Linked DNA regions of Rattus norvegicus. The protein of the gene in region 2 interacts with the protein of the main gene of each other region in a biochemical or structural test. Links are inferred from orthologs where the notes say so. Each region holds a gene or a part of one and is shown on either strand. Other genes may lie near its edges. The genes, in order: Fchsd2, Magi1 and Adrb1.

Region 1 (3,644 bases), on a different chromosome or scaffold from region 2:
GATTCCCATAAAATGCAATTCCCACAAAAATTCCAACGTAATTCTTTACAGACCTTAAGGGAGCAATTCTCAACTTCATATGGAAAAACAACAACAACAACAACAAAAACAACAACAACAACAACAACAACAACACCCCACCCAGGATAGTTAAAACAATCCTGAGAAAGAAAAGAACTTCTGGCAGTATTACCATCCCTGACATCAAGCTATACTACAGAGCAATAGTGATAAAAATTACATGGTATTAGTATAAGAGCAGGCAGGTTGATGAATGGAATCCAGTCAGAGACCCTGAAACAAATCCACACACCTATGGACACTTGACTTTTGAACAAAGGCAAAACCTTAGATGGAAAAGAGAAAGCATCTTCCACAAATGGTGCTGATCTAACTGGATGTCTCCATGTAGAAGAATGAACATAGATCCATATTTATACCATGGAGAAAACAAGTCCAAGTGGATCGAAGACCTAAACATAAACTCTAGCAGAAAAGAAAGTGGGGAATAGCCTTGAACACATTGGTACAGGAGACAACTTCCTGAACAGAACATCAATGGCTTAGGCTCTAACATTAGCAATTGATAAAAGGGACCTCATGAAACCGAAAAACTTTTGTAAGGCAAGGGCATTGTCAGTAAGACAAAATGGCAACCTACAGATTAGGGAAAGATCTTCACCAACCCTATACCCAACAGAGGGCTAATATCCAAAATATATAAAGAACTCCAGAAATTAGACAACAAACCAAACAACCCAATTATAAAGTGGGGTACAGAGCTAAACAGAGAATTCTCAATAGGGAAATCTCATATGGCAGAGAAACACTTAAATGTTCAGCATCCTTAGTCATCAGGGAAATGCAAATCAAAACGACTATGAGATTGATTCCATCTTGCACCTATTAGAAAGGCTAGGATCAAAAACTCAAGTGACAGCACATGTTGTCAAAGATGTGGAGCAAGGGGAGCACTCCTCTATTGCTGGTGGGAGTACAAACTTGTATGACCACCCTGGAAATCAAACTGGTGGTTTCTCAGAAAACTGGAAATAGTTCTACCTCAAGACCCAGCTATACCACTCCTAAGCATATACCCAAAAGATGCCCCACTACACCACAGGGACATTTGTTCACCTATGTTCATAGCAGCTTTATTCGTAATAGTCAGAAACTGGAAACAGCCTAGATGTCCCTCAACTGAAGAATGGATACAGGAACTGTGGTATATCTACATAACAGGTTACTCAGCTATTAAAAACAAAGACATCATGAATTTTACAGGCAAATGGATGGAACCTGAGAATATCATCCTGAGTGAGGTAACCCAGAGCCAGAAAGACATGCGTGGTATGTTCTCAGTTATCAGTGGACATTAGCCATGAAATGCAGGATAACCATGCTACAATCCACAGACCCAAAGAAACTGAGTAGTAAGGAGGTCCCAAGGGAAGATGCATGAATCTTACTCAAAAGGGGAAACTAAATAGTCATCAGAGGTGGATGGGAAGAGGGAATGGGTAGAAGAGGAGGGGAACAGATATGGTGATCAGGTACGGGAAGAGAAGGAGGTGGGAGATGGCTGGATTGAGAATGGAAATAGCTGAGGTTATCTCTGGTGACTCTCTGGAAGCCTGGGACAGGAGAGGATACAGGGAGTCTATGGGGCTGACTCTAGCTCAGATCCTATTAGTGGGAGATACTGAGACTGAAGTGGGTACCTCCTGTACTCAGGCAAGTCTTTCAGAGGAGGAAAGAGGACATCAACCTACCCACAAAACCTTCAACTCAAAATCCGTCTTGCTTACAAGATGTGCAGAGATAAAGATGGAGCAGAGACTGAGGGAACAGCCAGCCAATGACTGTCCCAACTTGAGACCCACACAATGAGAGAGCTAACCCGATACTGTTATTAATACGCTGCTATGCTTGCAAACAGGAACTTAGCTTAGGTATATGCTTAACTGTTGGAGAGGCTTGATCCAACATCAGATAGAGGCAGATGAGGAGATCCATAACCAAACATCAGGTGGAGCTTGGGAGTTTTGTGGAAGAGTGGGAGATACAAGTGAGCCAGAGGGGGTCAAGGGCACCACAAGAAGACCTTCAGAGTCAACTAACCTGGGACCATGGGGGCTCAGAGTCTGGGAAACCAACCAAGGAGCATGCAGGAGCTGGACCTAGAGCCCCTACACATTCATAGCAAATGTGCAGCTTGGTTTGAATGTGGGTCCCCTAAGAAGTGGCAGTCTTGGTCTCTGTTCCCTGCCATTGGATCCCCTTCTGATTACCTGGATTGCCTAGTTGGGCCTCAGTAGGAGAGGACATGTCTAGTTCTGCTGGGACCAGATGTCCTAGGGTGAGGCAGTACCCAAGGGAGGGGTTTTTCCCTTCTTGGGGCAATGGGAAAGAGACTTGTAAAGGTGGGACTAGGAAGAGAGGAAGGAGTGGGGGCTGTGACTGGGATGTGAACTGAGTTTAAAAAATGATTTTACTTTATGTGTACGTTTGTCTGTATGCAACCATATGTAATGTGCATCCCTGGCTCCCGAGAAGGGCAGACGAGAGCCTTCCGGACTTCCTGGAATTGGAGTTGCAGACAGTTGTGAGCCACACTGTATGCTGGTGCTGGAAACCAAACTCAGACCCTCTACAATAGCAGCAAGTGCTCTTAACTGCTAAGCCATCTCTCCAACACCTATGATGATGATGATGATGACGATGACGATGACCACGGCGGTGGCAGGGTCTGGCCTAGGATTTGCTATATAGCCTAGAACTCAGAGATTCACCTGCCTTTGCCTCCTGAATGCTGAGATTAAAGGTATACACCACCATATCAGCTCATTTTATAGCCTTTGTTTTCTTTCTTGTTTTCTTTCATTCTTTCTTTCCTTTAAAAAATTTATGTATATACATGCCGAATGCTGCCCCCTTCTCCTGGTAACTTGCCACAGGGTTCCTCCACCATCTTCCTCATCTCTGAGAGGGTGCCTCTCCCATACACCCTTACCTTGGTGTATCAAGTCTCTGTAGGATTAGGCATATCTTGAGGCAAGAAAAGGCAGCCCTCTACTGCATATGTACTGGGAAGCCATGGCTCAACCATTAAAGGCTGGACTCACAACCAAAAATATAGCTTTTCTTTCTTACAGTTCTTTATACTTCCCCAAAGCACTGCATGGCAGATCAATAGCAAAATGGACCATGTGGGCAAAATAAATCATTTTCAGTTTGGAAGAACTATGTAATCCATAACCCTTCAAGGTGGGAGACTTACAGGCCGCAGCTTGCCATACGAGGTGTCAGGAGTCTGTCTTGAGGCCTGTGAGAATCCTGGTGACTCAGCATGAAGGCAGTTTTCTGAGGGAGAGAATCCAAGAGGTTATGATGGGATAGTAAAGATGCCAGTGTAGAAGTAAGTGGTGAGGGGCAGCTGCCCAGAACTCTTACCATTGGCTGAAGGAGACCGGGGGAAGAACTGGGAGCTCCTCTTATCTGGACTGGGGTAAGGGCTGCTGGGAGGCTGGTCATACAGAGGCAGTGGAGGCAGGGATGTGTGAGGCTTGGGGGATGGAGAGACCTGCAGCAAAGGAGGCAGAGTTACTAGGTGGCCTCCTCAAGAGGAGAGCTTGGCTACTTTG
Region 2 (3,744 bases):
GACTTTTCCTCTCAACCCACCTCACCTTTCTGAGCGGCTCCAACTAAGCTCCCTTTATCTAGTAGATTCTCAAGTCTGTGACCAAAGAGGAACTCATTGGAAACCACTGAAAAGTAAACGAAACCGCTAGGGCCACTGCTGCACTAGCCTCTTGGCGGTGGGGGCTGTTCTTTCTGTCCCAGCCTCTTCAGCGCTGATTACTGCACCCAGCCTCTGGGCGGCGAATTCCGAGGTGGCCGGCGCGCCCACACGTGTGCAGGACCCGCACCCTGCGGTGATCTTTACTCCCCAAAGCAGTCCTTAGGGTTCTCGGCTCTCCCAGAAGCTAAAAGGGGCTGGCCGCTGCCGCCCCTTTGCTGGAAGGACAATGAGAAGTCTTAGGTAGAAGACTCGCTCACCGACAGTTTTCTCCTTGTCCTAAAAAGTTGGCCCCAAAGTTTAACGGTGGGCGCGGAGAGAAATGCAGAGGGTGCGTGGGTCTTGCTGGTTCGGGTCCTCAGCGTCACACAGACAAGAGCCAGGCTCCGCCATGTGGACTTGAACCCCTGGGCCGGGAGCAGGCGCGGAAATGAGGCGGAAGGCAGTGGGGCCGCGAGAGAGATGGCGTGGCCACCGAGGGCGAGGAGGGAACCTGGCTGGCAGGCAAGAGTGTGAGCCCCCCGCCGAATTGGTCTCCCAGCCCCCACCTGTTTGAAAGGATTTGTTAAGCACCAAAGCCACATTTCCTGCGTTACGAGAGCTGGAGTGGGGCACGCGCACGTGTTCCCCAAAAGGCTCTGGCTGGGCCGACGGCACAGGAAAAGTAGGAATTCTAGGGGTGCAGATACAGGAGCAAGTTGGCGTCAATGGAAGGTCGGCCCTAGGACCCCGCGGGAGGCGCGTTGGAATCTCTCCCTTCCAGGAGGAGGGGTGGGGCGGGCCTGCCCGCGGGCGGCCGCCGAGCGCATGCGCGCGCGCCTCCTATCCAGCCGGCCGCCGCGCTCCGCCGCGCGGAGTAGAATGAACTGTAACAAAACAAGCAGAGCCTTTGTATCTGCTTAAAGGGGCCGCGGCCACTTCCCTCGCGTCCCCTCACCCCCGCCCCGCGCCGCCGCGTCTCCAGGGCTCCCGGCAACTAGCTTGGAAAGGGCTTCCCTCGCGCTGAGGAGCGGCCGGCGGGCGCGGAGCAGGCGCGGCGCGTGTGGAGAAAGCTGCGGAGCAGAGAGCGGGCCCGGGCGGCGTCGGAGTGGACTCTGGTCCCGGGAGCGCGATCGGCGCCGGAACGCGGACCCGGAGGCACCGGAATGCAAACAAAGCTCGCGGGCGCCTGTGCAGGGCTCTCAACGGAGCCCGGAAAGTTTGTTTTATGATGGCTTGAGAGCGCGAGAGAGTCGGGCGAGGAGGCTCGAGTAGCTCGCTCCCGCGCTCCGAGAGAGAGATGCTTCTCCCGTGAGCCCGCCGCTCCGGGGGCTCGTGCTGTGGGGGCACCTGTCTCTCGTTTTAGCAGTTTTCCTTTTTTTTTCTTTAATTTTAATTTTTCTTTTGAGGAGGGGCTGTAACTCATCATGTCGAAAGTGATCCAGAAGAAGAACCACTGGACTGGCCGCGTTCACGAATGCACCGTGAAGCGGGGACCCCAGGGCGAGCTGGGGGTGACGGTGCTGGGGGGCGCGGAGCATGGGGAGTTTCCGTACGTGGGGGCGGTGGCGGCGGCCGAGGCGGCGGGGCTTCCCGGCGGTGGCGAGGGACCGAAGCTGGCTGAAGGTGAGCTGCTGCTGGAGGTGCAGGGGGTCCGGGTGTCCGGCTTGCCCCGCTATGACGTGCTGGGAGTCATCGACAGCTGCAAGGAGGCCGTCACCTTCAAAGCCGTCAGACAAGGTAAGACGGGCGTGTCTTTGGGGGGGCGCACCCCGAAGAAGAGGGGAGGCCTGAGGGGGCGCCGTTTGCTCCGAGTGCTGTGAGCCAAAGTTGAGGCCCGGGCCAGATGAACTCAAAGTTGTGCGGTTGTGGGCTGCGCGCCCACCTGCGTGGCGGCCAGGGGCCGGGGTTGCGCCGGGAAGCGGGGAGATGCTTCCCAGGCCTGGTTTGCCAACTTCTTGTCGTAGCCACCTAGTGCTGCGCAGCTTCGTCTGCACCTTAAGGCAGATGGGTAACTGAGGCAAGCTAAGGTGGACGCTTTCCACAGCCCCTTATGGGATAGATGAGCTCACCGAGCTGGTGGCTTGCCATTGCTTGTGTTCCCTGAACTGGAGAGTGGGTCGTGGAAAGGGAGGGTCTATTTATGGTTGACTGGAATTCTTACTTCACAAAATTGCCTTCACCCTGCAAGCCCTCCAGGTGAGGTTGGGTTATGACCCCCTAGAGTCCTTAATCTAGCCGCCTGCAGAGCCTGCATTCACCCCACAGCGGGGTGACGTCTGTGTCTCCTCCTTGTGGAGACCTACGGTGGGGGAAGGGGTGTTTAGCTCTTGGCGCGAATCTAGTCCAAGTTTACCCAGCCGCCGCCTCCCCTTGCACTGTCGTCCTTATTGATGATGATTGTTGAGAGATTACAATTCATTGTTAGCGTGCTATATGAGAGGCTCTCTGTAAAGTGGTTTAATTGCATTATCTCATTGTGATTCACAACAATGCTATAAGATCGACTTGTTTTTGTAAGTCCTATATTACAAAAAGTAAGCCGGAGCTGACCTAGGTAAATGACTTGCCCAAGGTCACACAACTACTAAAGTGTATGGGTCTTTTCTGTTAAACCTTGAGCGAGGAGGAGGAGGGCTTGAGGGGATGACTTAAGGGGCCTGAGTTTTGGGGTGTGTGTGGGAGAAGCAAGGCCTCTCTTAGAAGTCTGTAGGGTAGGGATGGCTTTCTAAAAGACGCATTTGATGACTCCCTCGCAGTTTGGTCTGAGCAATGGTCTGCTCTCTGTCTGGCTACCGGAGCATAGCTGCAGTACTTAAAGGCATCCCTCCTGCACCCGAGTGCTGTGACGCAGGTTCTCCCAGATGAAAGCACCAGAGGAGGTGGCAGAGTTGAATGTGGTGAAAAGTTGCCATATGTTCCTGTCAGGATGGCAGCAGCTGAAGGAAACGTGTCAAAGGAAAGCCTGGGAGAGCCAGCTCTCTCCAGCAGCAGGCCTCTTCCAGATGACCTGAGGATGAGTGCAGTATTGTGTGTGGTTAGCCCAGTAGCCCGGACTTTCTACCGTGTTGGGAGCGCAGAGGCTGACACCTAACAGTGGAATGTCCTTATCTTGCTGCTTGGCCTTGTCTGATGACTATGTCCTTAGGAGTTTCTCCTAGGACCGTAACCCAGGAAGTGTGCACAGCAGTGCTGGTTCACAGTAAGTGCTCAGTAAAAGTGAGTTATGGTTGTATGTTGTATTAGAGTTGAATTTAAGCAGTTAGGAATTCAGTTTTTAGCTAGGAATTTAGTGCCAGTTCCCCGGGTGATAATGACTTGGTTAGGGCTGTTGAGAAAATACTGTGACAGGCATTTATTTATTGGGGGGTAACATTGGGTTTGAGTTCAGGCTCATTTTGCAGAAAGATTTCTCATCCAGCAGGATGTCTGGGTGGTGGTTAATGGGTCCTAAGATCTGTTGGCCATGGGCAAGAAGCTGCCAGAAGCTTAGCTCTTCCTTCCACTGTTTTGCAGAGATCCTTGATGCTGGCGCCTTCCCTTCTTCCCCCAACCCTCTGTCTCTCCTGTGAGCACTCGCCCTTCATTGGTGGAACTGGGGGAAAGATGCCTGTGGATTTGACAGTT
Region 3 (3,744 bases), on a different chromosome or scaffold from region 2:
GGACCACCGAGGCGCGCAGGGGACAGGGTTTGCCCTCCAGGAGAAAGCAAGGTGAACCGTGCTCCACAAATAGTTTCTCGAAACCAGATTGGTCTGTTTCTCAGCCACCTTTCCCCCCTTTGCTTTAAGGAGACACCAATACTCCGGAATTAATATGCAATTTCTTTAGAAAGCAAAAGGAAACACTTCCTGGCTAATTATCACCGCTCCTGCCCCCACCCCAAACCAGAGCTGAACACTTAGGTTCCTAGGTGTGAAGTCAGAAGGCCAGGTGATAGACTCCACCCTCCCCCTTCCCCTCCCCTCCTAGTTTCCACTCGGGTCCTTGCAGAAAGTGTCAAAACCCACGGGGGGGGGGTGCCTAAAGGTGCATTAAACACACGAAAGGCCGAACCTCAGAGAGAAAGGAACTCAAGACAAGCCAGTAAGCCACACTAAGCCACACTCTCCCAACTACTCCCAAACTTTCCTTTTTGCGCAACGCTCGGTCCCGGGCTTTTCTGTACGTCTCGGATGATTCAAAAGATCTGTGGGCTTCGCATTCACCTGCTTTCGGTCTTGAGTAAACAGAAACCTCCTCTCTCCCCTGGGGAGCGGCTCAGGGGCGCCCAGGCGGGCTCTCTTCCTCTAGGGATGCAGAGCCCGTGTCCAGCCCGGGACTATGGGGAGCGGCGTCCGTGCGCCCGGAGAGCCTGGCCCTCTACACCTTGGACTCGGAGGAGAAGCCCTGGCGTCCCGGCTCGTCCAGGCTCGAATCGCTGTCCACAGTGGTCGTCCCGCCGTTGCAGCCGGCCCAGGGCTCCAACAGGCGCGCGGGTGGGGTGGCCCCGGCGTCATCGTCGTCGTCGTCCGAAGGAGCCCCGGGGGACGGCGGCGGCCCAGCTCTCGCCAGGCAGCCCGAGGCGCGCGGCCGGTCCCCGTGGGCTGCGCGGCGTCTGCAGGCGGCCCGGCGCGCGCAGCAAAGCAGGCGCTGGAAAGCCTTGCGGAAGTCGGGGCTGCGGCAGTAGATGATGGGGTTGAAGGCCGAGTTGGCGTAGCCCAGCCAGTTGAAGAAGACGAAGAGGCGATCCGGCACCAGGTCGCGGTGGAAAGCTTTCACCACGTTGGCCAGGAAGAAGGGCAGCCAGCAGAGCGTGAACACACCCATGATGATGCCCAGTGTCTTGAGCGCCTTCTGCTCTCGCAGAGCCACGAGGCGCGACGGCCGCCGCTTGCTGGAGCGCCCGTTGGCCAGCGAGTCTGCGGGGCGCGGTGGCCCTGGTGATGGCGAGGGCGCGGGCGAGGGCGGCCGGGGCGGGCCGCTGAGGAAGCGGCGCTCGCAGCTGTCGATCTTCTTCACCTGTTTCTGGGCCTCGCGGAACACCCGGAGGTACACGAAGGCCATGATGCACAGGGGCACGTAGAAGGAGACGACGGACGAGGCGATGGCGTAGGCCCGGTTGGTGACGAAATCGCAGCACTTGGGGTCGTTGTAGCAGCGGCGCGCTTCGTCGCTCTCGGCCCGCCACCAGTGCATGAGGATGGGCAGGAAGGACACCAGCGCGGAGATGGCCCACACTGTGCACACGAGGGCCCGCGCTCGCGCGCGCGTCAGCAGGCTCTGGTAGCGAAAGGGCGACGTGATGGCGAGGTAGCGGTCCAGGGCGATGACACACAGGGTCTCGATGCTGGCCGTCACACATAGCACGTCTACCGAAGTCCAGAGCTCACAGAAGAAGGAGCCGTACTCCCAGCGGCCCCACACCACAATGGTGGCCCCGAAAGGCACCACCAGCAGTCCCATGACCAGATCGGCGCTGGCCAGGGACATGATGAAGAGGTTGGTGAGCGTCTGCAGCCGCGGGGTCTTGGCGATGGCCACGATCACCAACACGTTGCCCACTACGATGAGCAGCACGATGAGCGCCAGGAGTAGGCCCATACCCGCGGTCCACTGCTGCGACAGCGGCGCTGAGCCCTCGCTGGCTGGAGGCAGCAGCGAGGCGGGAGGCGACGCGAGCACCAGCAGTCGTGCCGCGGTGGCCGCGCCGTCGGGCAGCGGCGCGGCCGACGACAGGTTGCAGGGTTCGGAGGCGCCCAGGGCGAGCGCCCCCGCGCCCATGCCGAGCTTCGGAGGCCGGGGGCGGGGGGTGTGGCGGGACTGGGCCGCGCCTGGGAAGCACCCCAGGAGCCGGGGCTGCGGGGCCCGCGCGGGGAGGTCGCGGCCAGGTCAGGGCAGCCGCGGCTTGGGGCCGGAGGCATGGACGCCGGGCGCCTTCTCCTCCGTAGCCAAGCGCTGTCGCCGCCGCCGCCGCCGCCGCTGCTGCTGGAGCCGCTGTCGCTGCTGGAAGAGCCGCCGGGACCTCAGCATGTTTCTGAGCGCGCGGGGCCGGCGGCTCCAACACCCAGCACCTCCCCCCCACCTCGCTCCCTACCCCCCAGCCAGCCCCCGGGGCCGCGCGTCAGGCTCCCGCAGCCAATCGTCGCCAAGGCACGCCCCCGAACAATGGTGTCCCCACCCCCAACACCCAGCACCCCCTCCTACCGCGATTGAAAGGCTCCAAAGATTGCGGGTGGACTACGCAGCCGGCACCCACGGGCTGCAGCGAGCGCGCCCTTTCCTGCTCAGGCTTCTTCCAGAGTCTGGTCTGCTGCGCCCTCTGCGGTGCCCCGCCGCCTCCTGTGCCCACCCCCACCGCCCAAGTGGTGTCCGCTTGCCCTAGCACCCAGCTCTCATTTTGCCGCTCCCGCAAGAGCGCCCGTTTCCCTTCGGCGCCCCGTAGCGCCCTCGCCTTTCTACCTCTAGTGCATGGTTCCTGGTAGCTAGAAGGGAAACTTGCTGGCGTTCCGGAGATGCCTTGGACAGCCTATCTGCTGGGATTGGGGAATTTAGCTGTGAGACTGGTTCTGCCATCAGGCAGCCTGGCTCTTCCCTGATCGCGAGGGGACCCGGCCAGAATGACAGCTTGGGGAATAGGAAGTGGGTGTTAGTTATTAGAGGAAACTTTGCAGCCAGGCGGATTGCTGGAGCAGAGTGCGCATCTGTCAGAAAGGCTCTCTGGGCGCTGTTCTTGCGCAGAGCTGTGCTCTCTCTCCCTCAAGTGCAGTGGATGGGGAAAGGAAGGGAAGGTTTGTGGCTGTAACTGCCAACGCCAAGGACCAGTTGGACACACACAGTTCCCAATCCCAGCTAAGGAAAAGGATGCGATGAGTTCTGAGTATAAAGGAGAAGTTTAGGGCAACATTAAGTCCGGAGTAAATGACACCGCCCCACCCCCAACCCCCACCCCGCCTAGAAAGAACTCAGAGAATGACGCTTCAGACTTTTTGACTCCAGTACCAACACCTTAACACCCGCGTTTGTACTCTGGTACCCATGGGATTTTATAATCTGAGCTGAGTCAACACAAGGTACTATCCCTTTTTGGTTGACGTCATGAACTGGGATTTCAGACTTCTTGGTAGGGTGGCTAGATTCTCAAAATTGCGGGATCAGCTTTGGGAAGAGCTTTGGGAAGCAAGAAAATATATAAATACGCGAGGCGATTAAATCGGAAAGCATTTAAAGTCACGCCGCATTTCCCCCTTCACATTGTCGAGTGAATCTGAAACTAGAGTGTTTGACTTCACTCCTGATGGAAGCTGAGGATGAACCTCAGGCTGTGGTCCTCTGATCTGCCCCCTGGGAATGCCTCCACCTCGGGCCATAAGAAGGAAATCTGCAATTAAGTTCTTGAGAAGCAAACAGTTCCCAATTGTCTCTGA

What was found.
Region 1: the proteins of Magi1 (region 2) and Fchsd2 form a complex in vitro, tested with the Homo sapiens proteins (2 studies listed by BioGRID and IntAct, with this or other methods). The link is inferred for Rattus norvegicus from reciprocal best matches to the Homo sapiens genes MAGI1 and FCHSD2.
Region 3: the proteins of Magi1 (region 2) and Adrb1 interact in a test that uses a peptide from one of them, tested with the Homo sapiens proteins (2 studies listed by IntAct). The link is inferred for Rattus norvegicus from reciprocal best matches to the Homo sapiens genes MAGI1 and ADRB1.

Annotation. Positions count from the first base shown.
Region 1 is NC_086019.1:165,087,209-165,090,852, reverse strand, and holds part of Fchsd2 (F-BAR and double SH3 domains protein 2), read right to left. Parts: intron 3,584-3,644; coding exon 3,454-3,583; intron 3,364-3,453; coding exon 3,281-3,363; intron 1-3,280. UniProt on the Homo sapiens protein: Adapter protein that plays a role in endocytosis via clathrin-coated pits. Contributes to the internalization of cell surface receptors, such as integrin ITGB1 and transferrin receptor.
Region 2 is NC_086022.1:128,365,435-128,369,178, reverse strand, and holds the start of Magi1 (membrane-associated guanylate kinase, WW and PDZ domain-containing protein 1), read left to right. Parts: upstream 1-952; 5' UTR 953-1,544; coding exon 1,545-1,857; intron 1,858-3,744. UniProt on the Homo sapiens protein: Plays a role in coupling actin fibers to cell junctions in endothelial cells, via its interaction with AMOTL2 and CDH5. May regulate acid-induced ASIC3 currents by modulating its expression at the cell surface.
Region 3 is NC_086019.1:265,775,715-265,779,458, reverse strand, and holds the start of Adrb1 (beta-1 adrenergic receptor), read right to left. Parts: upstream 2,357-3,744; 5' UTR 2,102-2,356; coding exon 701-2,101; 3' UTR 1-700. UniProt on the Homo sapiens protein: Beta-adrenergic receptors mediate the catecholamine-induced activation of adenylate cyclase through the action of G proteins. This receptor binds epinephrine and norepinephrine with approximately equal affinity.